Linked DNA regions of Oryzias latipes. The protein of the gene in region 6 interacts with the protein of the main gene of each other region in a pairwise test. Links are inferred from orthologs where the notes say so. Each region holds a gene or a part of one and is shown on either strand. Other genes may lie near its edges. The genes, in order: stk16, cfap206, natd1, aqp1, ammecr1, thrombospondin type-1 domain-containing protein 4 and cpne7.

Region 1 (3,514 bases), on a different chromosome or scaffold from region 6:
GACCCTACAGGACTGGGCGGCCCAGCGCTGCACCATTTCCTACAGAGCTCCTGAGCTCTTCCACGTAGAGAGCCACTGCATCATAGATGAGCGCACTGATATCTGGGTAACGTTGCAAGTCCACTGTCCTCAAGGACTCGTACCTGCCTTTTTCTGGAGCAGCTTTTTCTGAAACCTCTGGAGAAAATGACTGAAGCCGGCCTCTCCTTTGATTCTGCTTTTCCTTCAGTCGCTCGGCTGTGTGCTGTACTGCATGATGATGTTGGAGGGCCCTTATGATCTGGTGTTTCAGAAGGGCGACAGCGTTGCTCTGGCTGTCCAGAATCCAGTCAGCATCCCGCCATCTTGCAGGTCATTATTGGAGGGTTTTGTCGATCTGTTAACCTCCTTTATTCCTTTCAGAAGTTTAAGAAAAGAAAAAATATTTTGCTGACGTTTTTAGTGCTTGTTAAAAAAAAAATCAAAAAAATAAACAGACTTTGGATTTATTTTGGAAGAAAAACTTGCAAGAAATTTCTTATGATGACTATAAAATGAGGGTTTATGGTCACCAGTGGCATTTAAATGCTGCTGTCACTAAGCAGAGTACACCCAAGCTAAAGTGAATCCCCTAACATGCTGGGTTTTTGTGATTCATGTCACGTTTTTTCCCCTCAGTATAAGCTAAATTGTGAATGGAGGATGTGTTGGCTGATATTCTCTTGACCTGTTCACAGGTATTCATCAGGTCTGCAGGTGCTGCTCAGCTCCATAATGGTCTCAAATCCCCAAGAGCGACCGAACATCAGTTGGGTGCTTGACCAGGTTCAAGACCTGCAAAATCGCAGTCCGAACACCGAAACCAACATGGTCTGATCGGATCCACTGTATGCAGAGACCAAACCTTTACACGCCTCAGTGAACTTCTCTTTTTTTGTTTGTTTGAAGAATTAAATCTAAAAAGCTGGTTTTCCATGGGACGGTTGGCAACAAAAGCCTCATCCTCCACTTTATCTGATCAAAGCTTTCTTTTAGCCTTTATTTTAACTCACTAAATTATTTGAAGAATGTGAAATGCCTTAAATCTATAAATATTTTCCACAGTGCAATTATTTCTGGTGATGTCAGAAAAAAAATGCTTCTTTTTTTGGCAACCTTTATTTTGAAAAATCTGTGTATTTGTTCTTCCTGAGACCTAAATGAGGTGCTGCTCATGTGTCTGATGGCTCCATGTGTTTTGGATCCACCTCACTTTAAAATTTGCAGTGGAGACAGATTTGACCAGCTTTGTTTGAAAGCAAGAGAATCAAATCCAAGCATATTTATGTGGTTGTTTCGTTTCGGTTAATTCCGTGGAGAAAAGTGAAGAAATAATTCAGTGAATGCAAGAAACTGCAACTATTTTTGTCCCCCAGATGGAGCAAGGCTCACTATTATCCTTTTTATTAGTTCTTCTAAGTTGACGTCTACCCTCTAGTGGCAGCAGCTTTAACAACTATTCTTCTAAAAATGTATAAACTTTTGTTTAAAGTAGTATTTTTAGATTTTGATATGAAACGAAAACGTACACATTAAAGCTCTGCTTTGGATTTCGGATTACTTTCACTTCTGGGCTCATGTAATTCAATAATTCAGTTTTATTTATTTAGCCCACCATTACAACACGGTTGTGTCAATGAGCTTTAGTAATTGTACATAACATAAATGAGTTATAAAATACAATAGCTAATTGTTCGTTTACTCCTTTAGGGATTAATTTTAGGAGTTAAATGCTGCTCACTTTGTCTTTTATATTTCAGGAAGCTTCTATGTTCATTCCAGTGACTGTTCATGTTCTGTCTAGAGGAGCACCATGTTTATTCTTTTATTTAAAAAAAAACAAGGCTGTCCTTCGATCACAATTGTTACAAACTGTAACATCTGTTTATTTTAAGTTGGAAATAATTGAGGGAATATATTTTTCTGTCACTTCACTTTGTATTGTGTTTTTAAACAGTCTTTTCCATTCCACTGATTCCTGTGTTTTATTCTTGTTTTCTTTGTAATAATCAGACTTGTGTTCTCTCAGGGTTCTCCCATAATCCTCTGGCTTTCGTTTCTGAACCTAAACTCTACCTTTAAAATGTCTTGACAGTAAAAACCTTTTGGGCATTTAAATTGAATGCTTTTTTTGTGACTGTAGTGCAGTAATTTAGGACTGTTTGACCACCTTTAAAATATTCTGCTCAGTTAGCTTGTAGACATCATATTTGAACTGTATTTTGGGAGTACTATACAATGTTTGAGGATACTATGTGTTATTGCAAAGTTTGGATTTAGCCAGTATAATGAACTGTTGTGTTGTTGTGAACCGCAAATTGAAAAAGGTTTAATGCTGCATCCGAAAGACAAAAAGTTCTATTCGTATTGGTAAAGGTACCAGATATTATTGTGTGCTTTTGATGATGATGAAAAGTCCTTTATTCATATTTTAAAACACAAATAAAGAGAAAATATCTACACACCTGGTGTGAGTGGTTATTTAAATATGATGGTGCTTTTAAAACCTTTTAAGTAAAGCAAATTAAAGCTTTAAACAGTTTGTTGAATATATAAACTAACTACGGTACAAATGATAAAAATCATTGTATTTAAGATTTGAAGGGCTCGTAGATTCACCTGCATTTTCTAAGCAGTAGTATCCAGCTGCCACAAGTCAGTGCTGTTGCTGTAAAGGCCTCTGGGATTAAAATGAAAGCAGTTCCACACAAAAACCTTGACCTTAACATTTCAGCTGTTTGCTCTCACACATCCTTATAACACTATGTTAGCTGAATTACCTGCTTCTTTTTTTATTGTTGCAGCTGATTGTTGTGGATTCTCTTCGATCTACAGCAGGGGTGCCAAACTCATTTCCACCGAGGGCCACATCAGTATAGCAGCTGTCCTCAAAGGGCCGGATATAACTTATACATGTAACTAAATGTAATGAAACATACATGTAACTACTCCTTAATGTTAAACAACTAATTTATTTATTTATTATAACTTTTGAAAGTGACAATTACAGTTGCATAGAAAACATATGTTTGCTTGTTACTCTATCATAAATCCTTTTAAATTTGATTCTGTCAGGTTAGATTATATGGACAGTGTTTAAGTCCTAATGTATAGTTGCCCAATCTGATATTTCAAGGCAGATTCCCCCTATATATATATATATAAATACACACCAATTTTTATTTTTCATTTTAAGAAATCAAAAATTTTCATGCTCTCGGGGGCCACATAAAATGACATGGAGGGCCACGTTTGGCCCCCGGGCCTTTAGTTTGACATATGTGATCTACAGCATCTGAGAGAATCTAAAGCAATCACTGACTTAACAAAATTCATAATTGACTAATATGTCGCACAATTGTCAAGGTTGCTCATTTTAATTCATTCTTGGACTATGGTATTTATGTAGTCGGTTTGTTGAGGTTTGTTGGTATCTTGGGGGGTTGCTTTATCGAGTAAATTGTTGCCCACAACACAGTCTACCCCTCCTGATTTT
Region 2 (4,191 bases), on a different chromosome or scaffold from region 6:
TCACCTGCAGGTCCAGATCAGGAAAAGGTTTGTCCGCTTGAAAAACAGCTAGTCATAATAGGAAAGCAGCAAAATCCAGGCAGAATCTGTTTGTAAACTTACCAGTTTGAGAGCTTTTCGCCGAAGCTCCCATTCATTCCACTCGTACGACTTATCAATGTTGGTCTCTGTTGGGTGGGTGTCTGTCTGTGTCCCACTGTCACATTTAAAGGTCTTTGTCAACAGAACCTCCTCTCGTTTCACCTATAAAGCACAGATAAAAATCTGTTTTCCTCCAGGCTAACACATCAACAGTATTCTGTGTTGTTGTGGAACTGCTGTTGGAGCAGCTGCCAACCTCAGAGAATGGACTGATCCAGGAGAGCTGCTGATGGAGGTTGAGGAGGTGAACGAGCTCCGGAGAGCGTTTGGCTTTTTCCACCACCTCTGCAGCAAAAGCATCTGGACTGGAGGCAAAGTTCAGGGCGGCTTCTTTGGAGCTGAAAGCGTAGAGCTTTCCCTCATGCTTCAGGACTCCAATGTGTGGATTTCCTAAAAGAGAGAGCGCATCTCTAAATCCTGCAAACTATACAGACCACTAAACAGAAGCTACTCCTTATTGCATTTTTACACCATCTGCATAAGAAGTTGGTTTAGATTAAAAATCTTTACTTATCACAACACATTTGTGCTAAAAAACAAAGGAAAACTTGAAAAAAAAGAGACAATTACAGAAGTTTTCATTAATTTCAATCCCTTGAAGGCTAACAGCATATTGCTGATTGAAGATATAAACTCAAATGAAATCAGCGAGTTGCATTGTATGGTACGGGGGCGCTATCAACCCCGGCCCTCGTGGCCCCCTCCTGAGGCGCCCTCATTGGCTGAAAGCCCTGACTCTTCCCCTCTGCCCCTGCCACCCTGATCAGAGCTGCACATGACAAATGGCAGCTTTTCTGTTGGTTTTATCTCCATGGCGACCATTTTATTTTTTATTTTTTTGGTCACCTGGGGGTGACGAACACATCTAGGAACATTTTAGAAGAATCGGCAGAAGTACATTTTTGGATTTACTTTTGTTTTTTGTTGCTAACCAAGCCCACATATAGTCACTGTTTTGTTCAGCTTCATCCAGCATTCATGTATAAAATGTTCACAACTTTTTGTTAAAATATGCGAAGAACAGGTGAAGACCACATTTGCAAGCACACCACGCTAAGGCCGTTTAAAATCGACACATTTTAAAGCAGTGACTTTTACCAAGTAGCTTCCCAATGATGCTTGAGGAGTAAGGAGGGGATGGATCGGAATTCCTAGGAGGAGTTTAATGTTATAGCTGGTACGAAAGGTGGTTCTTCTTTTCTTCTTTTTTGAATTTTCAAGATGGCAGCCTGTTTCCGAGGTCAAAGGTCAACAAATGTTGGTTGTGGGTGTAGACTTAACCTGGCGGCGTGTTCGTGAAGTTTTGTGAAGATCGCTTGAACGAAAGTTTTCTTTTCCCATATTGTGGAAAAATTTAAATATCGATAACTTTGACCCTTTCCCACAAGATGGGCGCCAAGCCGTAAGTCCTGTGGCCATCCCATAATAATTTTAAACCTTTCTTTGGATATCCAAACATGCATTTTTTGGTCTATTTAGTGGATTTTGATTGTTTTTTCTTTTCAGCCCTATAAGATGTGTTGACATCATTTTGTTTTGAGGGGGTCATTCAAAATCCCCAAAATTCATTTTTACCGGGTACTAGGTTGAAATGTTGAGTAAGTTTTTGAGTATGTGGCACAGGCAAAATGTCTTCCTTGAGGGTACTGTAAGAGAAAAAAAAGGATTGCAAAAACAATGTGGTTGTTGCAGTGCAGGACTGCTGTGGGACATGATAACTAACAGTTTCTGGATCATCCCTCTGACATAATTCTCATACGGTTGTGTCATGAGTGCCTGCAGGCCACGTTTGGAGGAGGTTTCACACAAATGTTTAGAAAGTGGGTCATGTAGACTACTTACTGTTCACATAATTGTATTATAATGAGACACAATCCTATGGGAGACACATTTGGCTTTCCTGAAGGTACCAAAATGACCACTCCAATAACTGATCGGTAAAATCAGTGCAACCTGCAGCTTCATGAGATGCTTTCAGGTGATGAAGTTGTCTTTAGTTCTCTCCTTTATGCTGCCTGATAAAACTCAAAACTCCTGCATGAGTTCCGGTGTAAGGGTTCTTTTATTCACCTGCTGCACTTTGACGGAAGATAATAACAGAAAAGCTGTGTTTCATGGGTACCTGGAAGCAGAAGGCCATCACTGTTCACCAGTGTGTAACCACAGAAACCGTTATATTGAAGTGGCAGTTCACTGCAGTTGGAGGCGGCTTCAGGCATGAGCCATTCCTTTGACTCTGCTTGGGCTGGATCAATCTGCTCACCTGGAAGGCAAGAAAGAAGAACAGGATCATCTAAGAAACGTCAGGCTGTAGCTTGAGACTCTAAGCTGCATGTGAAGCATGTCAGACATACCGGAGGACTCTGCCAGCCTCTGCTCATCGCTCTTCACCTCTGCTGCCTCCTGCTGGCCGTCCAGTTCCGCTTCAGAGAAAACCTCCGCCTGTGAGGCCACGAATGGATGGAGGTTCACTGTGATCTTGTGAAGGAAGTTCAGGAGCTCTGCCTCATCCAGAAGGCGAGACCACGTTGATGACAGGGCCTTGAATGAAGACTGAAGAACGTGGAGCACGTGAAAGAAAGGCTTTTTATCAAAGACAAAAAGTTTCTCTAGGTGACAAAGATTTCGTCTTTGAGTCCTTCTGATCGTCCTGCCAGCACCACATTTATTTTATTTATTTAGCTAATTATTTGATGTGTTTTTTCGCACGCTGTTTTTTACTGTGTAAAAATGTTGTTACTGTCATGTCTTATATCTGTTCTTACTGGAGAGCTGTTTTAACCATTGGGGATAATTAAAGTTATCTATCTATCTGCATCAACATGATGTGTCTCGTTAAGAATCAAAGGGGCGGAGTCTAAGGATTCCAAAGTTTTACTTTTTGTTTTTCTTAAGCTACGTTTATAAGCTCGGCGACATGCGTTCAACCGGCCATTTCCAAAGAAAACTCTATTTGCCTCCATGTTCAAACTTCTCCATTCACTCATATTCAGGCTCTATGTAAAAAAAAAATAAAAAAAAATAAAAAAAATCGCTCAATTGGTCAAACTTTGACCAATCAGGGACTCGGATTTGGTTGTGACGTATGGATGACGTCCCCTTTAGTTCACAGTAATACCAATCATTTAAAGATTGATTATGGAGGAGAAATTAATTATTGTGGTTGTTGCTGTGAAAGATAAAGTGTGGGGGAAGAGTCACCAGATTTGCAACGCTTCAAAATTTCGCACCAAGCCTCTTCCAGTTGTTGGTGGCAGACATGCGCTAGTAAACATTAGCAAAAGAAAAAGTAAAAACCCCTCCCTGCTCACTCAATGTGAACACCATGGACTAAATGCATGTTCAAGAGGGTAGACCATGCTGCAAACAAAATGGCTCCTGACATCATCGGTAGGAGGCAGAAATTGTATACCTAACCCTGTCCCTAACCCTAATCCAAAAGTGTTCAGAATTGTTAAAAAACATTTATTAAAGGCTAAAATGTGAAAAACCGTAACTGTAAGTGCTGCGTAACGTTGTTTCTTTTTTTGCAATATGGCAGACACTTCTGGCTCTGGTCAAGGACTTTCAGTACTGGTGGCGGCCGTGGTGCAGCGGTAGGGCGGTCGACCCATGATCGTAAAATTGCAGGTTCGATTCCTGCCTTGCACGCCCATGAGTCGAAGTGTCCTTGGGCAAGACACTGAACCCCACCTTGCCTCTGGTGGTAGGCGGGCGCCTGTGTTTGGCAGCGGAGCCACCATCAATGCGTATATAAGTATATACGTATATAAGTATACGCCATTTACCATTTACATTAGTATCTGCAGCCAGGTCCTCTTGGTTCAAGAAAGCGCATCAAATGCCCGGTGTGTACATGACTTCCTAGTTTCATTTTCATCTACCGCTCCTCAAACAAAGCTTTCTGCATGTAGCTCTATTTCTAGACCAGCAAATATCCCACAACTGGCGGGTAAGGTGAGAGACTACCACGCAGGAAAGCATGGTTTGATTCATGAACAATGGTACTGTCACACATACTGGGGGAATTACCATCAATGTTGAGCTATT
Region 3 (4,653 bases), on a different chromosome or scaffold from region 6:
GCAGACAGTTTAATCTTGCATGCCAAGGCGTGTTGAGTGGCCTGAGGTTTTTGACTTTTTTTTTTAACTAAACATACAAGATTGTTAACAGCAAAATATCTACAAGAAAAAAAATACTTTCACCTCAATAATCCTATTTGTCAAATGTTGAACTCATTTTAATGTCAGTGGCATATGAACCACCAGTTCGGTTGCAGATTGCAAATGAAATGTCACTGGAAGGAAAAAGTAATAATCATCACAGCACATAATGGAAATGCCCTCAGTTCAAGAGTGTGTTTTTGGTTAGAGACGGCAAACGTTGAAATGCCAGGATGAGCAATAAACAGAGAAATTGACAGGACATCAATAGTTTACAAATCCCTGCACCTTTGTCAATGAAATCATTAATTTAAAACTCCAATAAAACACCATATGTGTCTTTTACAGTGGAAAATAATTACCAAATTAGGCTTTGAACATTTTCTTCCACTTTAAAATTGTATTTATTAATAAAATGTGACTCGCCAAATGTAGGTGAAAGATGACAAAAGAAAAAAAAAATTAAATGGCTGCAGTTTCATGATTAATTTGAAGACTTTAGCACAAAAAAAACAAAACTTACATCAGGAGGCAAAAATGAGATATAACACACAGGGGGCAAATTTGAAAGTCTACAAAATCTAAATTTAAGTGGAGCACCCATTGTTGCCATTATACCCATATCAAACAAGGATAAGAAATGCATGTATTTCCAAGGAAAGACATAAAAAAAAAACAAGTCCTATCAGATCTGATTTAAATCTGCACTTGTTTCAAGTCAGCTTTGAGGGTAAACTCTGGAAGATTCAGGCACCACCCTTCAGTCGCTCCGCAACAACAAGACCGAACGGAGCTTCTCCTTTACTCCAGTCCCCCTCCCTTTGTGATGGATGTCAATGGCCCTTTGACAGGACGGTCAACCCTCACGGCAGCGTGAGATCATAGAGATGGTTTTGTCTCTGGATTCCCTCAATGACATGTTCAACAACACTTGGGAGGCGGTGTGTGGAATTTTGTCCAGCGGCTGCAAGGCATGCCGTCACAGTATTTCTCCCTCCCACGAGTCTCTGTCTCGATCCCTTCTTCAGGGCTGTGTTGGGTCATTGATAGATGTGTTCAAAGTACTGAGGCTGAGGGTTTTCTTTGACATACTTCTGAATGTACCAGCAGGTCAGGTGAGCCTTCAGGTCCTCTTCCACTACAAAATCCATGGCTGCCTGCCGTTACACAAAGCACAGTTAGTGAACTGCCAAATTATCAACCAAAAAGGACTTTGTCGTTCAGAATGACTCAAGAATTCATTCATCTATTCTACCTTGGCTAGATGTTTGGCAATGCCTCTCCCTCGGTATGCATCTGGAACTTCTGTGTGCTGCAAATCCACCGTTTTCTTCCCGACATACTCGTACAGAAGAACTGCACGATCATGGGATCCTGAGGAATGAGACAAAAGCTGAGCCTTTCTTGTGTTTGCTAAGTTCTGGTCCACCCAGAAAAATTTGACCCTTTGACCTTATAAAGCGAAGAGACACACATAACACAAAAAGCCGGTAGAACAACATTACACTAGTCATAAAGACCCTTTTAAAGACACACTCCGTGTGTTTTTAACATGTTGCATTTCTGACTATTTCTTTATTCAAATTGTTAGGAATCAGGAGCAAATCCAGTTTGAAAAAGCTTGTGGGTGTGACGTAAAAGCTACTACGGCAAGCGACAAGCTCCCTGTTCGGCTCCATTCTGATGCATCCACTTGTATATGACTAAATCCGTTGATGTCTGCATCTCTCTTGTCTGAACTGGCATCTAGCTCTAAACTTTACAGCTGGATAGTTCCTCATTTTCTTGCCATTTTTGTTGCACCGCAAATGTTAGGCCGGGGCTGTAGGCTACTGGGAGAGCGTTGTACTTACTCGCACCAACAGTTCCGCCCACAACTCGGAGGCAAAATGCTAATGAACTACTGTCGTTCTGCAGAAAATATGTCCCCCCCCCAAAAAAAACCCAATACTGATTTTTTTTTTTAATTTTATTTACTATTATTTTTTTGCTTAAAGTGGCACAGTCATGGTTAAAAAAAGCACGGGGAATGCTTTGGACATAGATCAAGAGTTGCTTAGAGTGGGACTTTAAAGGTCCTACACGTTATAGTGTCTCACACATCAAGTACAAAGATGTAGTTTGAAAGTTTACGATAAATTAAAACTTTAGTCAATAAAGATGTGAAAAAAATAGAATGTATTACTGTTCAGTGAAATAAGGCATTCAATATATAAATACACTTTTCACAATTGACTTGGAGAAACTGATGAGATCTTTATGTAATTGAGTTTGCTATAAAAACTGAATAAATTAAAAAAAAAACATATTAAAGTTGAAAAAAAAGCAAATATTTAAGGCAGTATTTGTAAATGGTAAAAACATAAATTATTTTAAATTACAGCCCACCATGCATATAAACCAGCAAAGTAATATTGCTAAAACACTTAGAAATGTAATAGGTGGGAAAAGAAACAGCTTTTCTTTTAAGATTGGAGCAAAAAGTAAGCATCTGTTGAATGAAGCGACTAAAGTTTTTTTCCCCTCAAAGAGAGGGAAAAACCGCCTAGACATTCATGGTTTATGAACTACATTTCTGATAGAAAAATAAAAGGAGTAACAGCGACTATGTGGTGCCGAACAACGCAGCGCAGCTGTGGCAGAAATGGCAGCTGGAGTTCCCCACAAGGTAAAAATGTTAGCAAGCAGACAAAGCTAACCTTCAAGCCAACCTCGCGCTAGCGCGAGCGTGCTAATGTTTACATTCGGAACTTACCATTGAGCCTAATGACAAACTGCCGGCGCTTTTTATCGTGCTCCACCTGGATTTGAGAGCCGCTGGTGTCAAAGGCATGCGCTTGAGCCATTATTGGGGGTATTACAGCTACTCTACGGTGCTGATAACCAGAAATGGCTACATGAGACGACGATGAACGTACTGAAGCAAAACACTTCATCCAACACAATCAGCTGTGAGGTCACGTGGGGACTAGCCAATCAGCTCGATGTACGTCAGAGATGAGAAATTAAGGTACGAAAATAAATGTTTTCTGGTTAAAGAATTACAGTAGTTAAAAATCACAATAAAAACTACACAAATCTATATAGTTAAAAATACTTATAATAAATAGAAACATATAAATAAAAATACGAAATCTATTTTTCTTAAACCATTTTTTTTCGTAAAATAACACAATCTTCTACTTCTGACAAACAACATAAAAATCGACGATTTTTAAAGTGAAATTAATGCAAAAGTTTGTATATGTGTCACCTTTATTGTTTTAATTGGAGGATGTGATATCCCGACGTCCACTTTATCTAGGTTTCTTTTTCTATTTCTGTGAGTAATATTCTACTTTATTATTTGTTTCGCAGGTTTAATTCTTTTTCCTCTCTGTAAAATTTGGTCTGGCCAATTCAAATATTGTAAGCTGAAAAAATGTTTCATTAATGACTAATTATTTAATTTTTTTAAATGATTATGATGCAATGAAATCATATTAATTGGATTTAAAAATAATGTTTTTGCAGTTTTTGTATTGTTAGTTGTTCTTGTGTAGTTTGTTTACGTGTCACAAGGTTACGTAAAATTGTTTAATATCAGTTTCACAACATTAATATAATAACTTGAAATTCAATAAAAGGACATATAGGGTTATTTTTACATTGAATAAATCACAGTAATATTTTTTTAATGTAAAAGGAATGCAATTAAATTATCTAACCAGAATTCAAAAGTTTCTTGTAATGTTTTTCAAAATGATAGTGAAGAACATCCCTTTTTCCTTTTCTTTTATAAATTTTGAGAAATGTTATCATGGCATTTTTACAACATTTTGTATTTATGTATATTTTTCAAGACTTTCCTTTATTTCCGTTTGTTTTAGTATATATTTTAATTAAAAAAAATTATACAATTTGTTTTGTTTAGGCTGTTGTATCATGTTTGCATCATTTAAAAACAATCTTGAAATAAGGGTTTTATGAACATGGCTTTAGATTATCTTTATTTAAGCACAAAGAAATGGATTACAATAGCTCAAATTAGGCCAGATTACCTTTCATAGCCACGATTGCAATGTCTTCTCTTCGTCACTACTCTCGGGATCTTTTTCGGGGTAAAATCCCTTTTCTGTCCCTGCATAAACACAGACATCTCCACGTATTGAACTCTAAGTCGGTGCGTCAAGTTCACTAATGTTTTGTGTGCAAATCCTTTTAATCTGTTGGTCTAATCCAACAAAACTCTAATGAGGTTTGTCAAATCTTTGTGGGGTTTTGTGAAGGTAGCTCTCTGCTTCTTCAGGTTTTGCCGTCTGCAATGATGTGAGACTTCTTCCCTTTGTTTTTGTCTTATTCGTTTTTTAGTTTTCGCTGGAAGGGTAGTTTAATACCAAGTTCTTCTTCTTATTTATTATTGTTGTCATTTACAGAGGTTTGTTTTAATTCGGTGTCTGAAAAGATGTCTAAAAAACACAGGTAAGCCAACTTTCACTTATTTACTAGATGTGTTGTAGTGTCAAATCAGTTAATCTGATTAGAAAATAAATTTCTATTATTGCGTAAATGTAAACTTTCATATTCCAGCAC
Region 4 (4,263 bases), on a different chromosome or scaffold from region 6:
ACAGAGATGCCCATATACTGTCTCCTCACAGCAGAGCCAAACCATATGTCTCGTTTAGAATGACAGTCATGGTTTTATCCCGTATGCATTCTGTGTGGGGTGTATTTGTCAATAAGGGGGGGGGGGGGGGGGGGCATAGGTGTGGGTTGGTTTTAATTTAATTAATTTTTTTGTCTGTTTTAATTGTAACGCGCTTTGCGCTGCTTTTTAAATAAAAAACTGATTGACTTATGACGCAAGCGTGATGCTGTCGTACGATGTCTTTACACCACACTCTAGTCATCAGCGGGGTAAAAAATTCCGGCTCCTTACTGACTGTGCACTAATGCTGCATGCATGAGCTGTGCATGTGATAAATACGTGCCCGTGGGACCCCTGTAAGATGTCCACATGAACTACAATCTGTCTAATTTCCTGATTAGACAAGGAGCAAGGAGCACGCACTTATCTATTGCACCAACAAGGTTCCCTGTGCAGTCCTTAGCGTTCACCTGCTTCCCACCTATTTCACCCTTACGTGTTGCATAAGTGTTCTCTAAAAGAATGTTCATTAACATTTTTTATTTCACTCTACAGGTTCACTCAAATTTTGTGCAGGCCCGTATCCGTCCGTAAGGGCAGTCGTGAGTAAGGCGGATCATTTCTTTGGCTGTGTTTTATTTTCATAATCACTCGTGCATAATCTAATCTGACAGATCATAAACTTACAGCTGAGAGTTGTGTGTTTCTAGGAACTCTATCAGGTTGTTGGTAACTTTTTGCATGTTATGTCATGCAGTTTTTGTGTTTGGGATGAATTCATAGTATTACAAAAAACATTAAAGAAAATTTGAATAATAAATGAAACGACAACAACAAATTCTCACATTGTGTTTTATTTTACGTAAAAAACTTTAGACAAAAGAGTGCACACAATATAATATCCATCAGGAATAAGAATAAGTGAAACAGGTAATATACAAAATAGGCTTCAACATACAATACTGATATGGAGAAAAAGGATCAGCAAACGTCCCGCCCGGGGTTTCAAACTTCAGCAGCGGTTTGATAAAGAGCTTGTGCTGCGTTGATAAAAGGAGTGACTTTAGACAGCCTCTCTAGCTGACCCGTAGACGACAATCCTCCTTGGTTTTTTTCAAAACAACGTTAAAACTCTGCACTAAATTTCAAAGCTTTTGAATTTTAAATTTGTACATATTGATTTTTTTTTTAGTATAGACATTTACAAGGACGTGGGGGGAAAAAACAACTGCAGCTACTTTGAAGACATCTCCACAGTCGCAGACTCGTTTCCTCCATTTACATCGTAGTCTCCCACTGGACCGCTGACTAGGACCTTCATGCGATCAGGGAAGTCATCAAACTTGGGGGACAGCAGGAAATCGTACACCAGAGCCGCCGCTACACCACCACACATCGGGCCCACCCAGTACACCTAGGACAGATAACTCATATCAGCTTTTGCACTGACTTTGTAACGTTCAAGTCCTTACTGTGTCACAGAAATGCCACAAACACTGATTAACTTATGTGTGTAGTGAGTTACTTGGGTTTGCTAAATAGCCCACATTCAGCTGTCTGAGGTCTGCTGGGGCTCATTCTCCCTCCAACTTACCCAGTGGTCCGTAAAATCGTTCAGGATCAAAGCTGGGCCAAAGGAGCGGGCGGGATTGATGCCACAGCCTGTGTAGCTGATCTATGATCACAAAAAAAAAAAAAGACATGAAGTCATTCTGGAGCAATGAAAGGCGGTTTATTCACCTGGTGGACCACACTAAAATCCACTGGGGTCAATCTTGAACAAACATTTTTGGGGATGGTGTAACTTACAGCTGCCAAATGTCCCAGGCAAACTGAGAGGCCAATGGCCAGGGGTGCAGAGCCCATGACGTCACGCCTCCTTTTATCAGTGACTGCAATGACACACAGCACCAGCTGGAAGGTGGCCAGAAGCTCAATGCCCACTCCTTGGCTGGGGGTGACACCGTTAAGCTGTGGGTTTTTAGGGGGGGGGGACAAAATTCAGACATTGGAATGGAAAGAATGGAAAGTTTCCCTTCACTGGCTTTATGCTGACATCTTGATGCTATCATATTATTGCAGTAGTAGAGTCATAAAATCACTGAAGCTACAAGTTTTTAATAGATTTTTTTTGCCAAACAAAAAACGGTGGTTCTGTCTATAGGGGCCGTCCTTTACCTGCACACCTCTCCACGTTGCATTTAAATGCACTGTCCTTAAAATGCAACGTGGACAGGTGTGCGTTTAAAGGATGGCGACCTCTCCATGCTGTCGTGCATCCTATTTAGGTAAACAAATTCTGCTGTCAAGAAAAGGGGATATAAAAAGTTTTACTCACAGAGTTGAGCCCTAGGGCGCTGGTGTTGGAAGGACGCGTCCCGTAAACGATGCCGCTGGCGAGGGCTGAACCCAGCATCTGAGCCACTATGTACATGACTGCCTTGAAGACGCTGATCTGGCAGCTGGCAAGCATGCCAAGGGTGACGGCGGGATTCAGGTGGGCTCCACTGATGTGGCCTAAGCTCTGGGCCAGAGTGGCGATGGCTAATCCAAAGGTCAGCGACACCTTCACCTCCTGGTCTGGGTTGGCGTTGTTGGAGTTTCCAATGGCTGCAGAGATGCTGAGAAAAATAAAGAAGGCCATGCCGACCAGTTCGGCTAGAACGGCCCTCCAAAAATCTTTGCTCTTGAACTCCCTCATGGTGGTGGCTGTGTGACGGTTTGAGCTGCAAAGTGTGTGTAATCGTAAACAACAGCATCAGGCTGCATATATAAGGCCGGTGCTGATAATGGTTGGTGGGCGGGCGTTTAAAGAAAAAAAAAAAAAAACTGAAAGGGAGAACCACGCTGAACTAATGAGAAACCCAAAAGGCCGGTCTCTCCCATCCCTCCCTCTGCTTCCTCACCCTCCCTTCTCCCCTCTCCGTCCTCCAGCTTTCTCCCAGCACCTCCCTGTGCAGCACTCTCTCCGGTCTTTGGACTTTTGTGAATAGCAAAACAGAGTCTTTAAATAGCTGTACCCAAAGATAAAATGTCCTTTCGTACCGGCGTTTCTAAATGAAACTCCCCACTGAGAGAGAGCTCCCAGTCAGAACTTTCCAGGAGCAGAGGGAAGCGTTTTTTAGCTGAAATTTGCCTTAAATGACAATTTTGTGCAATTTTGCGCCTTACGAATGTGAGCGTGGATCACTGACAACATACAGGAAGGCAGGAGACAGCTCCAAACAGCCCTTTGCTCCACATTCCCCCTGGCTTCTACTCCAATTTTGAGCAACATGAAGTAATACAATTAAGATATTTTAGGCACAAAAAAGTAACTGAATGAAGAAACTGAAGTTAAAGGTCCTAAATGATATTTTAATCAGAATTGCATAAGTAGAACTTTTCCATTTCTAATAGAGCAACTGTGATTTATTAACTTGATTGACGTTTTTGCACAATTACTAGTTGTATTGTTGAGCAAGAAAGTGAATGATCAACTCCATGAACGGCACTGCCTGTTCTGGAGCCCCCCCCCACTTAAAGAGGGACTCCAACAAAAGGCAGTCCGCCCTTTCACTGCTTATCTGATAGAAAAAATCCTTTTCAAATGACATATTCTTAGAAATGACCCTGTCACTGGACTTTTGCATTAGTTTTCATATATGATAACCATCATATTTAGATTAGATTTAGAATAGATTTAGATTTATTGCTTTTTTTTTTTACAAGTAACAATGCAGAAACACAGGTATTTGTATATGTAGTAAGTACAATTTCAGAACTAAAAAGGAAAAGTAAATACCAAGAATCAATCAGTCAAATTTAGCAGCAAAATAAAACAAATTTGTAAAATAAAAGTAGGTTTTGTACAATTTCAAGTGTAAATATTCCTTATTATTGTTCTTTCGTATTCAACTCCTTAAATTTTTGCTGCCAAACACTTTTATCTTCATCCAAACTTTCAGTTCTTGTCATTTTGTTTTATGAAGTCATCTGAATCTGTTAATTTTTAAAGTTTCAATACAGCATCAAAATCAGACAATGGAAAGTGTTCTGTCAAACTTATTATCCTTTAATTATTAACTCTTCTGACTTGTGCGACACGCCGCAGCGCTACGCTATGCATGGTTGCCGTGACAGAACTGCGAGATAACAAGTTGCATCCAGATGTCTTTCAGAATAGTGACTCATGCTGTTGAACTGTAGTGATTAATGTCTGAGAGAGAAATTCATCATTTCTTTCAATAATTCATAAGTCAT
Region 5 (4,953 bases), on a different chromosome or scaffold from region 6:
AACATAATAAAAACAAATTTTATGAATAAGCTATGAATAAAAACATAAAAACAAAATGAGAAGGTAAGAACATAGTTAAAGAAAACATTGAGGATAAAAGCATAAAACATAAAAAAAACTTGAGTGTAAAATAACAGAGCAAAATCTCATATATGACTAAAAGGTTGGCTATGAAAATTAAACTTAAGTTAAGTTTTGAAAATAGACAGGGAAAGCGCTCTTTTAATATTTAGCAGCAGTGTTCCAAGACTTCGGAGCACAGATAGAAAAGGATCTTTCCTGTCTTTCCTCCCTGCATTTCCTTTTAGACCTCGGTGCCTGCAGGAGAAGCTGAGCAGCTGACCTGAGACACCGGTTGGACTGGACTGGAGGGATAGAGAAGCTCAGCGGGATAAGGCGGAGCGAGATCACTCAAAGATTAAAAAAAAAAAAGAGGATCTTAAAGTGAGCTATAAAATGAACAGGCAGCCAGTGAAGGGAAGCCAGAATTAGTGTGATGTGGTCCCTCTTGTGTTTTGAACAAGCTGCAGACGTGAGAGGGACGACTAGTTGACCCCGAAACAAAGTGAGTTACAGTAATCAAGCATGATGTGATGAAGGCATGGATTACTGTCTCAAAATACTGTTGGGATAACAATGGTTTCACCTTTCACCTTAGTTAACCGCCTCAGCTGGGAGAAGCTGAGGCCTCTGAGTTACTGAGAGTTCTCTGTTTACACGCTGTCCCACTAGCTTACAGCTTCTCACAAACCCCAACCTAACAACATTAATGACGAGAAATATTGGAGTCGTACAGTTTTTGAGGCAGATGCCAGCTCGGATGATGAAAACAAAGATGTACATGGGTGTAGTCGTCTAAGTTGAGGCATCAAGCTACATTCCCATTTTCCTCGGCAACACGTGTTCAACTGACAGCTTCCAATAAAGAGTTAATATAAATGCGCGTCTTGAGTTTCTGTGTTCAAAACTCTCACGTTCACCTGAAGCAGGAATCTACAACCGTTTTTGGGCTCTACATACAAAACATGGATCCATTGAATGAGTGTTGCAAGTTAAACCAAGTTGAACTTTGACCAGTCAGCAGTGGTAGTGGTGATTGAATGGAATCCCATTTCATTTTATGGAAGTGACAACTGTTTAAACTTTGATTGTAGAGAAGAAATGAATAATTTCTTCTTTACCAAAATGTGACATTAAGTCTTTGATATATTGGAACAGTGAGAGAAATAGCCTGGAGCAAGATTCATTAGATTTGCAAGCGCTTCCATAGGGACAGTCCAGTGTGAACACCGTGGGCCAGACGTGTCACATTCCCGCTGAAAACAGCATTGGAATGGAGCGGAGCAGGGACCTTGTGGCCCACCCAGTGTATTTTCTGTCACAAATACAATCATTTTCAAGCTGGATTTTTCTTTTCACCTGCTATTGAATCCAAATGATTTGAACAAAGAAATACTCAGAAATGCTCATTCTAAAGCTTAATTTTCTTTATATTTGTCCTCCATCACCAGAAAAGTGTCACGAGAACATGTTAAAAAGACCAAAAACACATTTTTTTATTGGAGTGGGTCTAATGTACACTGTGTTAGCTCTGCACCCTAGATGGTGGAGGTATTTGATCCTACAAAGCATCAACCGCAGAATAATTTCCAAGATATTTATGTCCAGCCCCAGCATGATTCCAGATGAGATGTGGTCATGAGGCCATAGCTCTGCACATTCCCTGAGACCGGCACAGATTTTTTTGGCCTCTAAGCAGAAAGTCCTTTCTGATGATCTCGTGGAAGTCTGCGCGTAATCGAAGCTCTAAATCACAGAGCGGTGCAATGCTCTGAGAGGCGCATTTCACAGTCAGTGAAACCCCTACCGGCTCCTCTCCCCACTTCACGAAGTGCGGGACCCATTACTTTTTCCATGCACGCAGCGTACGCACGAGGACGTCACGGGCGCGCATCCTTCCACTGCACCGTAGATTTCTCCACAATTGCAAACTTGATACCCCTGAAAGCAACGCATAATGTGTAGCAGCTGAGCGCAGAGCCGTTTCAGAATCCGGCTCCGGCGTGCACACGACACCGATGCCCACAGCCTGATCGCAGGGCTTTTCTTTTTTTTCCCCCCAAACCCGGACAGCACAGAACTGTAGCAGCTGACAGACGGATGCGGAAGGAGTGGTTCCAAACCCAGCGGATTTCTGCCGGTTCGGGGACTAGAATGCTCCTCTGTGTGCATCCCCACCGACGGATGACAGCCTCCAACCAGACCTGCCCCGAAAACTTTCAGCTCTGCGTTTGAGGAGAGGGGAGGGATGTGATTGAGATCTGCTTTTTGGTTATTATTTGAAACGCAACAGTCACGATGCAGGTGCAGATTGTGGGCTAACGGCACAGAGATGACGCGCTGCATGGTGCCATACCAACTCCGCATAGATAGTCAGATGCCATTTCCCGTGCGTTTGCCTCAGCGTCTGGAACCGGAACTCTGGCGTTCTGGGCCTGTTGTATAATTAGAAGTTGGCGAGGCAGTTGCTAGAATGGCGCAATGAGAAGCGACGCCGTCTGAGACACTGCGCGCAATCTGTGAAGCTTATGGGTCCTGCGCACTCGAGCTCTCAGCTCCCGGCTTCCACTTGGAGAGGCGCGCTGCGGCGGGGCTACGGCGCACCGGCTGTTGGCTTCACATCTGGACCGCGCGGGTGCTGTCATCTGCGGCCTGTTTGGACCGTGTTTTCCCTGAACTCGTGTGCTTTCAAGGCCGCGGACTAGGGGTCGTTTTGGATAAGGGGGTACAGATTTAGGCTCGGCCTTGCTGTTGTGGCGGCGGCTCAGAGCCTGACCGGCTCCTCCTGCTATGGGCTTTTGTGTAGTGAAATCACGTCTGTTTTTAAAGACAACGCTCCAGTGACACTGCAGTTTCCCATCACAGCAGCCATCGTCTGAATAAACAAATAAACACATAAATAAACCGGTGAAAGTGGAGTTTTGTCCGTCGAACGTAATCAACGCAGTGGGATTTCTACGTCTGCTCGGCGTTCCCCCCCACCCCACCCCACCCCACCCTTCCCGCGGTGACGGTTATGGGTCGGAAGCGGTGTGTCGGTGCAGATTGTTCCAAGATGGCGGCCGGGTGCTGCGGGGTGAAGAAGCAGAAACTGTCGGGATCTCCCGGGTCGGGGGGTCCCGCCGGGGTGGGGGCGGGAAGCGGGGTGGCAGGAAGCGGACATTGCGGTTCGGAGTTGGGGATTGGCTCCTCCGCGACTGTTGCATCTACGGCGAACTTGAGCCGAGTCAACGGCCTGGGGGGAACCGTTAGCGGCGGCGGCGGCAGTAGTGGCTGTGGCAGCAGCGGCGGTGGCACGAACGCGCTGTCTCCAGCCCCGGCCGGTTACAATACATCCGGCCTCTCCCCGAATCTCAGCCCGGGACCAGGTTCAGGAAGTGGCGGCAGAAAAATGGTGGTCTCGGCGGAGATGTGCTGCTTCTGTTTTGACGTGCTTTATTGCCATCTGTACGGATACCAACCTCCGAGAACACCCAGGTTTACAAATGATCCCTAGTGAGTATTTGTTCTGTCTTTTGTCATTTAGCTGCATGCCAAAGCTAACTCTAGTTTTATTTGTACATGTTCTAATTGGGTTCTGGTTCTTCTAAAGTCTCGGAAGCACAAACTGTCACATCCAAACTATATTTAACTTTCGTGAATTTAACTTAAAAAGCTCCCTAAATGGGCTAAGTTAGAAACCGGGCCTAGTCGAAGTAATGGCTCAGGCCTACAACTAAACAAGCGCTCCACGTTATTTAACAATGCAAACACATTTGCAAAATGTGTTACAGACTTACGCGTAGTATTATTTTTGAAATTATTGTCAGAATTTGTCAAAGAAGTTGACTTTATTTTAATATTCCATTGAACAATTCTTGCTTTGCTTATTTAGCATAATGTTTAGCATCGGTTACCCACCATAAACTCTAAAGGAAAACCGAAAATAACATCAAACATTTCTTTTAATTTATCATTTACACGTAAACATAACACGATAAATATAAAAAAAAACAACCTAAAATTAATCTTAATAATTAAGCCGGGTGTTTTTTTTAATCGTGCAAAGCTATCCTCAGTGTTAGCTAAAAGCCGAACTAGCATTAAAGTAAAAGCTAATCCAGTTTGTAGTTTATTACACTTAGTAAGCAGGTTTCATCAAAGTCCTTCTGATGTATTTGTCAAAAAAAAAAAAAAGTAATTTAGACTTTCAGGGTTCATCTGGGTTCGGCAAGTTCGTCGTCGAAGTCAGAGGGGTACAATTTCAGCTGAGTCTAGCATTGGCCAACAAAGAAAAGGTGGTACTTGCTAAATAAATCCTTGGCAGTTCTAAGCTCTCCTAATGCAATTGGGTTTTTTAGCTAAGCGTGATTGGAACGTTGTTCAAACGGAGCATGCGGTGTTTGTGACGCCATCTGTGTAACATACATGACATCTTCTTAGTAACTTCTTAGTCATGTGGAGGCTTTTGTTCTCAACGGTTGTTCCGGCCTCTCTAGTAAAACATTTTGTCCCCAACTGGGTCTCCACGAGTCTTTTTTTTAACACTCAAGAAGCTCAAAGTTGAATATATCAGCTGCCAGATTGATTATAAAAGGAAAGTTTGATTCAAATAATGCTTTATTGATCATTTAAAACGTTTAAAAATATAGTAACAACATAATTATGGGTTCATGAATAAGAAAAGCACGAACTGTGGTCTTTTATCTTTAGGGCAGATTTTAAAGTAAAGTACAACAAGCTAAGTACTTCTTTATGGATATTGAAGTAGTAACAGAAATGTTATAAATTTTGGATAACTTCATGTCACAGTTAGGGTGCAGCACCCTACTGAAGAACCACATTAGTGTCAACTTCTGTGGGAAAACCACAGCACTCCAGACAACATTTTTGTCTAAGTAGTCGGGGCTGGAT
Region 6 (4,746 bases):
GTGCCTGTTCCTGAGGAAGGGGTTCTCTGGAACCCTTCACATCTGTTTAGCTGCTGGCATCATCACAGTTTTCTGGACTTGTTTTTTTCCTCCAGGTCCCTTCTTCTCAGGTGTTGGGGGCATCTGGGATCTACCATTTTGGGGAGGGGTGCTGTAAGGGTTCTGTGGTTTAGTAATGATATTATGTTTTGGCCATGTTCTTGGTTGCCCTTTCTGAGTCAGACCAGTTTCAGCTTAATCACCATCCACAGTTGTCTTCATTTCAGTTAATTGCCCTCAGTCCATTTAAGTGCCTGGTTTTTAGGTAAACTGTTCTGCTTTTTCACCCTCTTTTGTTTCTCCATGTTTTTTGTGTGTGTTATGTTTCAGTGTATTTATTATATGTTATGGTTACTGCCACCACACCTGATCTCTCCTCCAATTTAGGTCCTACGCCACCAATTCCTGAGGGGCTGTAAGCTAGCAGCACAGCGGGTAAACAAAGGGATGATGGGAAAGGAGGGCAGGCTTACTCTGCACCAACAGTGCCGCCCACAACTCAGAGGTGAATTTCTGAATGATTCCTGCTGCTTTGCAGAAACTATGTCCTAGAAAATGACACGTGTTTTTTTTTTTAAATTCAGCCTAAAACGGCCTAATCATGATTAAAAGACTAAGGAGACTTCAATATAAAATTAAGCATTTTGGAGTAATTTCTTAAAACATGTCATCTTTCAAATATTACATTGATGCCAGTCCTGATTTGAGTGAACAGTATAAACTCCATAAAGGCTTGTGTGCATCCTGAGCCTTTTCCTTCAAACTGAGTTACGTTTTATTGGTTTAGAAATCACCAGCCCTTTCTTGTACACGTGCCGCTGGAGAAATCTTGTAAAGAACCTATAATTTTTTCCTGTGTGTGTGTGTGTGTGTGTCACCATGTCTCCTGAGGGTCATTTGACCTAAGTTACTCATTTTAGTAAAGTGTCTGGCTGGGCAGGGCTGTGTGGATTGTCATTTCATCATGTTTAAATGAGATGGCATCAGATGGTTTTTCACATCTGTTTCAGCCCTCACACACACACATATGTAATCATACACACTCAGAGAGGCACATTTCAGCCTCAGAAGTGGCTTGTCTCCTGGGTGCACTTATCCCAAACACCAAATTGCTGAAGCATGTTTGGTTTCTGGTGTTTCAATGGGATTAAACAGTGCACAGAATGCATGTTTTTCTCATGTAAAAATATCTGCTTGTTTTTCAAGAATGGGGGGGGGGGGGACTATGAATCATATTCAAACTGTAAACCACATCATTTGAGCTTGTCAGAGTGTCAGACTCATGAGATAGTCCCTTCCCAACTTTCTTGAAGAAGGCTCAGGATCGTCTGCGCTCATTATTATTCAGTGTGGGAGAAAACGCACAAGGAAACGTTATTTTTTCTTTCTCGATTGTGCAACTAAAACGAGGCTCTGAGGATTATTATTGCTTAGTCAGGACCAACAGTTTGTGAGTATGACAGAGAGAGAGGGTAGGAAGGCGTGAGGGAGAGGAGGGGGAGTGTATAATTTGTGCATGTGAGAGTGAGAAGGAGCCCGAGCGAGAGTTGTATAATCTGTCCATTTTGTGTCTCCCCTCTCCCTGCGTCTCTTTGTGCCCCCACCTGGTTTTCATGCGTCACGGGAGTTTATAATAAGGAAGGACCTGTGAAAAGTTGTGGACTGAACGGAACACACGGAACTCCTCCCGGTGACAGAGCAGGAGCAGTCCTCGCATGTCTTTCAGGCTGGAACGAAGCTCAGATTTGGACCCAAAGCATCACTGAGAGTGTCAGTGTGCAGGAGAATTTTGGAGCATGCAGCTCGGTTCACTGATCAGGTAAAAGTCGGTCCCGTCCAGCTGCTGACTGATTCTTGTCGCCGCATGTGGATTTGCATCTTTCCTTGAGTGTTTGTGCTGACTGTCTCTACGGTGGTTTTGTTGGTGCGGGAAACTTTTACGCGCGAGGCTCACTTGTTGCGCGCCGCTCGCTGCGTTAAATGGTTGGAATTTACCCAGAGGCGCGCATTTTTGAGTAAAAACTGTGTGTTTCCACTCAAATTGGACTTTTCTGAAAGTATTTGTCAGTTAAAGGTTTCTCTCACCCTCTCCCTGTCCTCTCAGTGAGTTTACTCTGCAGTAGCGGCCGTGGAAACGTGGAACCGCGTAGGGGGTCGTTATTTCGGCCTGAGCAGCTCTGTTGTGTCGGGCTGTCCGGGACTTTTCTCTGTGTTTTTCGGGGGTAATTGTGTATTGCAGCGTGGGGAAGCTTCCAGAGACCGCGGCGGTGCACCACATTGGGTAAAACGAACCAATTACACTGCCTACATGTGGCTTGCGGACTGGAGATTGCGGTGATGGTTTGGTTCTCTTGGTGAGCGCTGCAAACTTTATCCCAGCGAGCCCGGCTGTACTTGCACGGTCAGAGCAATTTCTTGGCAGACTGCAGGACGTTATTCCACTTGTTTCCACTGCACTTGTCTCAGAATGTTTGTGTATGGGTGAGATTTTTCTAAATAGATCCGACATTCGCACACAAACAAGTGAGCTTTTGACACTTCTACAGAAAAAGAAAAAACTTAATTTTCTCTTAGAGTTATCCCAATTCCTGACCTCCCTGCAGGAAAACCGTCCTACCCCAGATTGTTTTCGATGTTGGCTCATTAAGCCTGTGTGTGGTTATTGCATATTAGTGTTAAAACCACATCCTCCGGGTGTGTGCAGAGGGAAAACACGCAAGTGCTTGTAAGCACTTCCAAGAGTTTCCCAGATTGATTGAGACGTTTGAACCCCGAGGTCATCGTGAGATTTGTCATCACTTTTCCCGACAAACACCTTTCCATTCAGGTGAAACAGGTTATTTAGTGAATGGAACATTCCTATACCTCAGCTAAATAATGTAAATTGAAGGAAAATATTTGAGACAGATCACATAGGCTTAGAATAATGAGAGTCTTATGTGTGAACGTGAATGGCTTCTAGCTGCACTTTTAGGTCATGGAGTACTGATGTGCTTTAGAAAAAGAACCCCATTCAGCTGCTGTCATTTTTAATCCTGTGATTCTGCCACTTCTCTCCCCCTCTGTTCTGCATCCCTCCAGGCTCTGTGTGCTGTTGGCTTCTGTGGAGGTCACAACCTCCACAACCAAAGCTGCCAAGAGGAAGGTGAGTCATTAGATCATCCAGTTAGGTCAACACATGACTGAAAAGTCAGGTTGACACCCCCCCCTCTCCCTTTCTGTGTGTCCCAAAGCATGAGACCAGAACAGAGAAAGTTAGAAATAACCTTTTTCTTATCGTTATCCTCTCCTGGAGACCAAATACTGTCATGCTTTGATGAGCTATTTAACCCGGTGACAGTAAATGTTACTGATTGCTCAAACAGGGATTAAGGCAAAATCATGCAAAGGGGCGTGCACTGCTGGAGGGTGTGTTATTTAAGTCGAAGCAACAGATAAAGTGATTTTAAGGCTTATCTGGCACCAAAATGTCGCGCACACACCAGCAGAAACTCTTTTACCTTAAAATATGCTGTCATGAGACAATCACCAGGTTCTGTTTTGGTTGAGTGGCAGAGACAAGACTTTGCCAAATGATGTAATGCTACGTAAAAGTCTAGTTGACCTTTTTTTAATCGCTGTAATCATTCATTGCTGGATCTCATTGTAGAGACGCTTAAATCCTTTTAAAGGCAAGAGGGTTTGAGAAGCCTTTTTTGCTCAGGAAAACAAAATATAAATTATACCATCATAGTTAAAATAATTAAAATTTAATCTAAAGCCATATTATTTAATCCATCACTCAAAAACAGTAGTGAAAGCTTCTTTTCCAATGAAAAGTTATGTGTCTGCTCATGTTAAAAGTCACCTTTTTTTTTAATAAATTGTGATGCGTGTGTTTATGGCAAAGTTCAAAGGACCTCCAGATTTATGAATACAATAAGTATCTTGTAAAAAGTTTTAGGAGCAGACCAAAATAGCACCTCAGTGGTGCTGCAGAAGTTAAAGTGGTGGCTGCAGAGGTTAGCAGTGGTTGCTGCAGGGTCACTGCTCACAGCTCATTAATGCTCCCAGTTATGTGGCAGCTGCAGGTTAGATGCCACCTGAGACATGGACTTGGACTTAAAAACTCGAACTTCAGTATCGCCTGCAGAAACTTGAGGCAGAAACAGATAAGCAAGTGGACAAAGTTTATCTGTTTTTTTTCCTCTTTTTTTTTTTAGCTCCAGGACATCAATGTCAGAAAAAATAAATGAAAACTGTCTTTACACAGCGTTTGCACACCACTGGCTGTTATTGTGTCCCCACAAGTTGTTTAAAGTAGTTTAACAACAATTTGTGACAATAGAATATTATTTTAGAAGTTTTCGGACTATAGACTTGTCTTGGATTTGTATCCAAATGCTTCAAACTTGATTTAAAGGGCCTATAGCATGCTATTCTTAAGCTTTTTTGAGTAATCTACATTCATATATATGATAATAGATTACCTTTGGCACACTGAATAGCAAATTTTCTAATCAAATATTAATTCCTTTCCTGAGTTCTTTTCCAGCCCATAACTAGGACAACTTGATATCTGAGGCACCGGCTTTCGCTCATTTGGGTGTCGCACATTTCATGACGTCAACCTAGAGCTGGCCTCGGCAGCGTGTCTGCGTCTCGCCCACGAAAATAAACAACATCCAAACTTTTGCAAAGATGGATGTTCATATTGCACATATAAAA
Region 7 (4,191 bases), on a different chromosome or scaffold from region 6:
CCCCCTAAACACTGAGGGTGTAAATGAATGGGAACAGTTCCTAATTCGTGCATCTGCATGGAAAGACACGCACTGTGAAAGAAATCCGTTTTCTCAAGTAAACATATTGGCAGCAGAATTCACTTGGGGTTTTTCAGGACTTTATAAAACCTGTTTGGAAAGAAAATTCCATTAAAGACGTACTCAGATGAAAATCGTGTTTTTGGTGTTTTTAACATGTTTGGTGGCATTTTTCTGATGATGGAGGACATATATAAAGAAAACTAAGATTAGAATTGCATTTCTGAGTATTTCTTTGTTCAAATCATTGTGAATGAGAAATAGACGTAAAAAAAAAAGGTGTTTGAAAAAGTTTGGTGCTGTGATGAAGAAGCTACAATCGGCAGGCTCCCCTCAATTCTGATGCATTCATTTGCAGACAAATAGATGTCTTTGTTTTCCTTGTCCGAGTTGGCATCTGGCTCAAAGCTGTACGGCTCCAATATTGCTCGCCATTTCTGTTGAGCCGCTAATGTTAGGTTGAGGGTGTGAGGGGCTGCAAGCTAGTGGGAGAGAGTGTAAACAGATTGATGACAGGAAGTGTAACCCTTAATAAAGGTTGCAACTAACAGGTTTTTTTAAGGGATGCAAATATGTAATAGACATTGCTTTGCTCATTTTTTCCCTTTGTTTCTGCAGGACCTCTTTAGCAAGTCAGACCCTTTTTTGGAAATATTTAAAATCAATGATGATGGAACCGAGCAGCTCGTCCACAGAACTGAGGTAAAGTCTTTGGATTTTCCTTTCAATAGCTTGATTAGCAGTAGGCCTTGCTAACAGTGTGGGGCTAATCCAACAGGTAATCAAAAACAACCTGAATCCAGTGTGGGAGCCATTCAAAGTCTCGCTCATGTCTCTGTGCAGCTGTAATGAGGACCGGAAGCTCAAGGTTTGCTTTTGCACTACTGTTTTTCCTTTTGTTTAGAGGGAACTATCACTATAGATTCTAGGACTCAAGTGAGATCCAATTAGCAATTCAGCGGGAGTAAGCAGTGTTTTCTGTGTGTGGCACAGTGCCTAGTGTGGGATTATGACTCCAGAGGGAAGCACGATTTCATCGGCGAGTTCTACGCCACTTTCAGGGAAATGCAGAAAATTTCCAGTGGAAATAAGGTCAGTAAATATTTAAAGGTGAGACAAAGTGGAGGCTAGGCATCAATATATCTGCTTCATCCATTTTCAATATATATGGCTTTTATTGAATTCTGTTCCCTTTTGGATTTTTCTGTTGGGTTTGACTGGGTCCTCTGGTGTCCTCACACAGTCCAAGAACATGAATGTCAGGTTAAGTGGTGATTTGAAATTGGCTGTAGAAGTGTCTCTGAATGTGTCTGTGGTTGTTTGTCTTGATAACGCCTCAGTGACCCTGTAACCCATTTCCCCACCTAATAAGGATTTAGGATAATCTGCTGATAGAATACATGGTCCAGAACACCTTTCTCTGCTGTTTCTGATTTCTGACTTTTTCCACTGAAGGTGACATGGGACTGTGTGAACCCCAAATACAAGCAGAAGAAGAGGAATTATAAAAATTCAGGGGTTGTCATCCTCAACGACCTCAAGGTAAAAATCTTCTCTGGTTACACATCAACTGCACAGAACATGAGTTGTAGTCAAAGTCGCATCAGTTGTCACACACCTGGGTGTATGAAATTTGTTCTCTGCATGTGAACCATCCCCTGGGGGGAGCAGTGAGGTGCAGTTACAGGAACCGTTTGGGGGTTTAACCCAGGAATCCAATCCTTTAGCACTGAGTGTCAAGCAGGGAAACATTGGCCCTCATTTTCAACAGTTTTTGGTGGATTTGAACTTGCAACATCCCATTTTTAGATTGTAGTTTACTCTGTGAAACTAAATTATATGGCTTTTAAATCAAACTTTATCTTTACAGAAGCAGGACCATAAAGATTTCTGGAAATAACTTGGTGACATTGACTTTAGGATTTATTTTAAATGAGATTTGGCCTGAATAAAATTGCATATTTTTGTTTTTCCTGCAGCTCCACAGAGTGTACTCCTTCTTAGATTACATCATGGGAGGATGCCAGATTCATTTTACGGTAAACTGAACAATTTATTATACATTCAAAGTTTTTTTTCTGATTATGTTGTCTCAAATCGAGGTGAGTTCAGTTGTCTTATGTCTAAGTGTAATTATTTTTATTGCATGTAGGACGCTTCATGGAACATGTAGAAATTTTATTCAGTATGCAACCTTTGGTCTGCTCTCTGTGGTGTTAACTTCCATTTTTACTGGATCACAGAAGCGCTGAATAATAATCATGAGGAAAGCTGCCACAGAGCATGTGAGCTCTAACTTTCAAACTGATGTGGGTGTAAAAGAATGCAAGTTTCTTTCTTCGATCATATGAATTACTTGACCATTAGACATTTTCAGCCTCCTCATAAGGTGATAAGAGCCCAAGTGAAAGTCTTTGCTGCAGACAAGGAGCAATAAGAAGAATTGATTTTGTTGTATTGTTCACAGTTTCCTTTTTTCATTTTCTTCCTACCAGGTTGCTATTGACTTCACAGCCTCCAACGGAGACCCAAGGAACAGCTGCTCATTGCACTACATCAACCCCTACCAGCCTAACGAGTACCTGAAGGCGCTGATAGCCGTTGGTGAGATCTGTCAAGACTATGACAGGTGTGTCAATCTTCTGTTTCTCAGAAAAGGCTCTGTGGAGCCTGCGGGAACTGTGAGTGTCTCTTTTGATGCAGAGTACAGTTACAGAGTGCTCCACGTTTGCCATTTCGCTGGACTCTCTTCTCACTGAAATGAGCCACTCCATCCATACCACAGCAAAAGGACCATAATGGGAAATGTGGAGTGCAAATACAGACTCCTGCAGCATATTGCATTTCGGCTTGCCAGGTTGTTATGAAGCTAATGGAAGTGGGATACAGACCACTTTTCCCTCACATTTAGTTTTTCACAGAAATGTATTTAGCACCTGACATACTCTGTAATGTTTTAGGAGAAGGCATCACTTACAGCTCAAATGAGATGCGGCTCAGTAAAATGTGAAAATGCTGTCACAGATGATGAAAGCGTGCCATGTTTAGTGTCTGCTTGCATTATTGAAATCTGTTGCCGACATTATTCATTTCTAACCTGATCCCGGAAGTGATACATGCTTTATTTTAGAGAGAATAATGTGCAAAAGAACTCGTTAAGAGAAAGAAGGACTGAGTTGCAGTCTAAATTCACAAAAACAAGTCAGCGTTTGAGCCAAACAGAGCAAGTTGAGATGTTTTCACATGAAAAAGTGGTGTATTCTTCATGCCTTTGTCACTACATTCACCTATGAGTTGAATAACAACTTTTTCCAAGCACATGACTTGAGATATCCATTGTAGCTTCAGGTTCAAAGGAGGTCCTTTTTGTTTCCTTTTGAAATTTTGAATTTTTTGTCCTGCAAAGCACAAAGCTGTGCCTAATTGGCATGTCAGTTGTGGTGCACTGTTTTGATTGGATGTCATAGTAACAGTGGTGATTCGGAGCATCTTTTGCACAGACTTGTTCTTTTGATTCTTCAAAGGCTCATTACAAAGAATTTGAGGCAAACTCGTGCAGAGATGGGGTCTCCACCAAGATGGCAGACACTTCCAAATAAAGTGGAGAGCATAATGGCTTTGGAAGAAACAGCAGGGGGTAGAATTTGCTGCATGAGGCAACACAGAACATTTCTTTCATGGGGAAATTCTTGTCACTGTGAGTGAACGTGCTGGTAAAGGCTATGAATTTTGTGGAAAATATCACTTAATTATAGGAAAATTTGAGCTTGGCGCACTTCAGAGAAAGATGCTCTCATCTGTTGAAATTAAGCCAGATGAGGATTAACACTCTGACTCCTGATTTATGCAGATTCTTCTATTGAATGTCAGGGGAGCGCTGTATAGCTAATTATAGCATTCAGGGCATTCTGTAGCTCCAAAGACACACAAAAAAATTAGCGCCTCATCCTTACAGCTTAGGCCTTTTATTTTCTCATTGAGTCATGAAAGGGGAACATATGTAAAGCCAGCAAAGTTAGGACATTCATACTATTGTTTTTTGTATTTGACCAAAACTGAACAGAAGCTGTGTAAAAAAAAAAAAAAAAAGTGCACATCTAACAAACTTTAGTCACATAATCTTAAGGAATT

The links.
Region 1: the proteins of thrombospondin type-1 domain-containing protein 4 (region 6) and stk16 interact in binary tests that used the Homo sapiens proteins (3 or more experiments, as listed by UniProt). The two-hybrid records come from large-scale screens. The link is inferred for Oryzias latipes from reciprocal best matches to the Homo sapiens genes ADAMTSL4 and STK16.
Region 2: the proteins of thrombospondin type-1 domain-containing protein 4 (region 6) and cfap206 interact in binary tests that used the Homo sapiens proteins (3 or more experiments, as listed by UniProt). The two-hybrid records come from large-scale screens. The link is inferred for Oryzias latipes from reciprocal best matches to the Homo sapiens genes ADAMTSL4 and CFAP206.
Region 3: the proteins of thrombospondin type-1 domain-containing protein 4 (region 6) and natd1 interact in binary tests that used the Homo sapiens proteins (3 or more experiments, as listed by UniProt). The two-hybrid records come from large-scale screens. The link is inferred for Oryzias latipes from reciprocal best matches to the Homo sapiens genes ADAMTSL4 and NATD1.
Region 4: the proteins of thrombospondin type-1 domain-containing protein 4 (region 6) and aqp1 interact in a two-hybrid assay, tested with the Homo sapiens proteins (2 studies listed by BioGRID and IntAct). The link is inferred for Oryzias latipes from reciprocal best matches to the Homo sapiens genes ADAMTSL4 and AQP1.
Region 5: the proteins of thrombospondin type-1 domain-containing protein 4 (region 6) and ammecr1 interact in binary tests that used the Homo sapiens proteins (3 or more experiments, as listed by UniProt). The two-hybrid records come from large-scale screens. The link is inferred for Oryzias latipes from reciprocal best matches to the Homo sapiens genes ADAMTSL4 and AMMECR1.
Region 7: the proteins of thrombospondin type-1 domain-containing protein 4 (region 6) and cpne7 interact in binary tests that used the Homo sapiens proteins (3 or more experiments, as listed by UniProt). The two-hybrid records come from large-scale screens. The link is inferred for Oryzias latipes from reciprocal best matches to the Homo sapiens genes ADAMTSL4 and CPNE7.

The regions. Positions count from the first base shown.
Region 1 is NC_019861.2:14,423,169-14,426,682, forward strand, and holds the end of stk16 (serine/threonine-protein kinase 16), read left to right. Parts: coding exon 1-106; intron 107-229; coding exon 230-351; intron 352-716; coding exon 717-855; 3' UTR 856-2,480; downstream 2,481-3,514. UniProt on the Homo sapiens protein: Membrane-associated protein kinase that phosphorylates on serine and threonine residues. In vitro substrates include DRG1, ENO1 and EIF4EBP1. Also autophosphorylates. May be involved in secretory vesicle trafficking or intracellular signaling.
Region 2 is NC_019865.2:27,269,989-27,274,179, forward strand, and holds part of cfap206 (cilia- and flagella-associated protein 206), read right to left. Parts: intron 2,695-4,191; coding exon 2,496-2,694; intron 2,405-2,495; coding exon 2,264-2,404; intron 532-2,263; coding exon 338-531; intron 244-337; coding exon 103-243; intron 5-102; coding exon 1-4. UniProt on the Homo sapiens protein: Essential for sperm motility and is involved in the regulation of the beating frequency of motile cilia on the epithelial cells of the respiratory tract. Required for the establishment of radial spokes in sperm flagella.
Region 3 is NC_019866.2:14,551,583-14,556,235, reverse strand, and holds the start of natd1 (protein NATD1), read right to left. Parts: upstream 3,038-4,653; 5' UTR 3,018-3,037; coding exon 2,837-3,017; intron 1,456-2,836; coding exon 1,337-1,455; intron 1,239-1,336; coding exon 1,122-1,238; 3' UTR 1-1,121. Other genes in the region: myosin-9-like, read left to right, coding at 4,526-4,542.
Region 4 is NC_019875.2:28,339,622-28,343,884, reverse strand, and holds aqp1 (aquaporin-1), read right to left. Parts: upstream 2,785-4,263; 5' UTR 2,723-2,784; coding exon 2,360-2,722; intron 1,993-2,359; coding exon 1,831-1,992; intron 1,697-1,830; coding exon 1,616-1,696; intron 1,436-1,615; coding exon 1,256-1,435; 3' UTR 860-1,255; downstream 1-859. UniProt on the Homo sapiens protein: Forms a water channel that facilitates the transport of water across cell membranes, playing a crucial role in water homeostasis in various tissues.
Region 5 is NC_019872.2:19,530,071-19,535,023, reverse strand, and holds the start of ammecr1 (AMME syndrome candidate gene 1 protein), read left to right. Parts: upstream 1-1,976; 5' UTR 1,977-3,076; coding exon 3,077-3,555; intron 3,556-4,953.
Region 6 is NC_019874.2:19,007,857-19,012,602, forward strand, and holds the start of thrombospondin type-1 domain-containing protein 4, read left to right. Parts: upstream 1-1,545; 5' UTR 1,546-1,835; coding exon 1,836-1,858; intron 1,859-3,120; coding exon 3,121-3,184; intron 3,185-4,746. UniProt on the Homo sapiens protein: Positive regulation of apoptosis. May facilitate FBN1 microfibril biogenesis.
Region 7 is NC_019861.2:20,465,372-20,469,562, forward strand, and holds part of cpne7 (copine-7), read left to right. Parts: intron 1-678; coding exon 679-762; intron 763-838; coding exon 839-928; intron 929-1,053; coding exon 1,054-1,152; intron 1,153-1,515; coding exon 1,516-1,602; intron 1,603-2,039; coding exon 2,040-2,099; intron 2,100-2,555; coding exon 2,556-2,689; intron 2,690-4,191. UniProt on the Homo sapiens protein: Calcium-dependent phospholipid-binding protein that may play a role in calcium-mediated intracellular processes.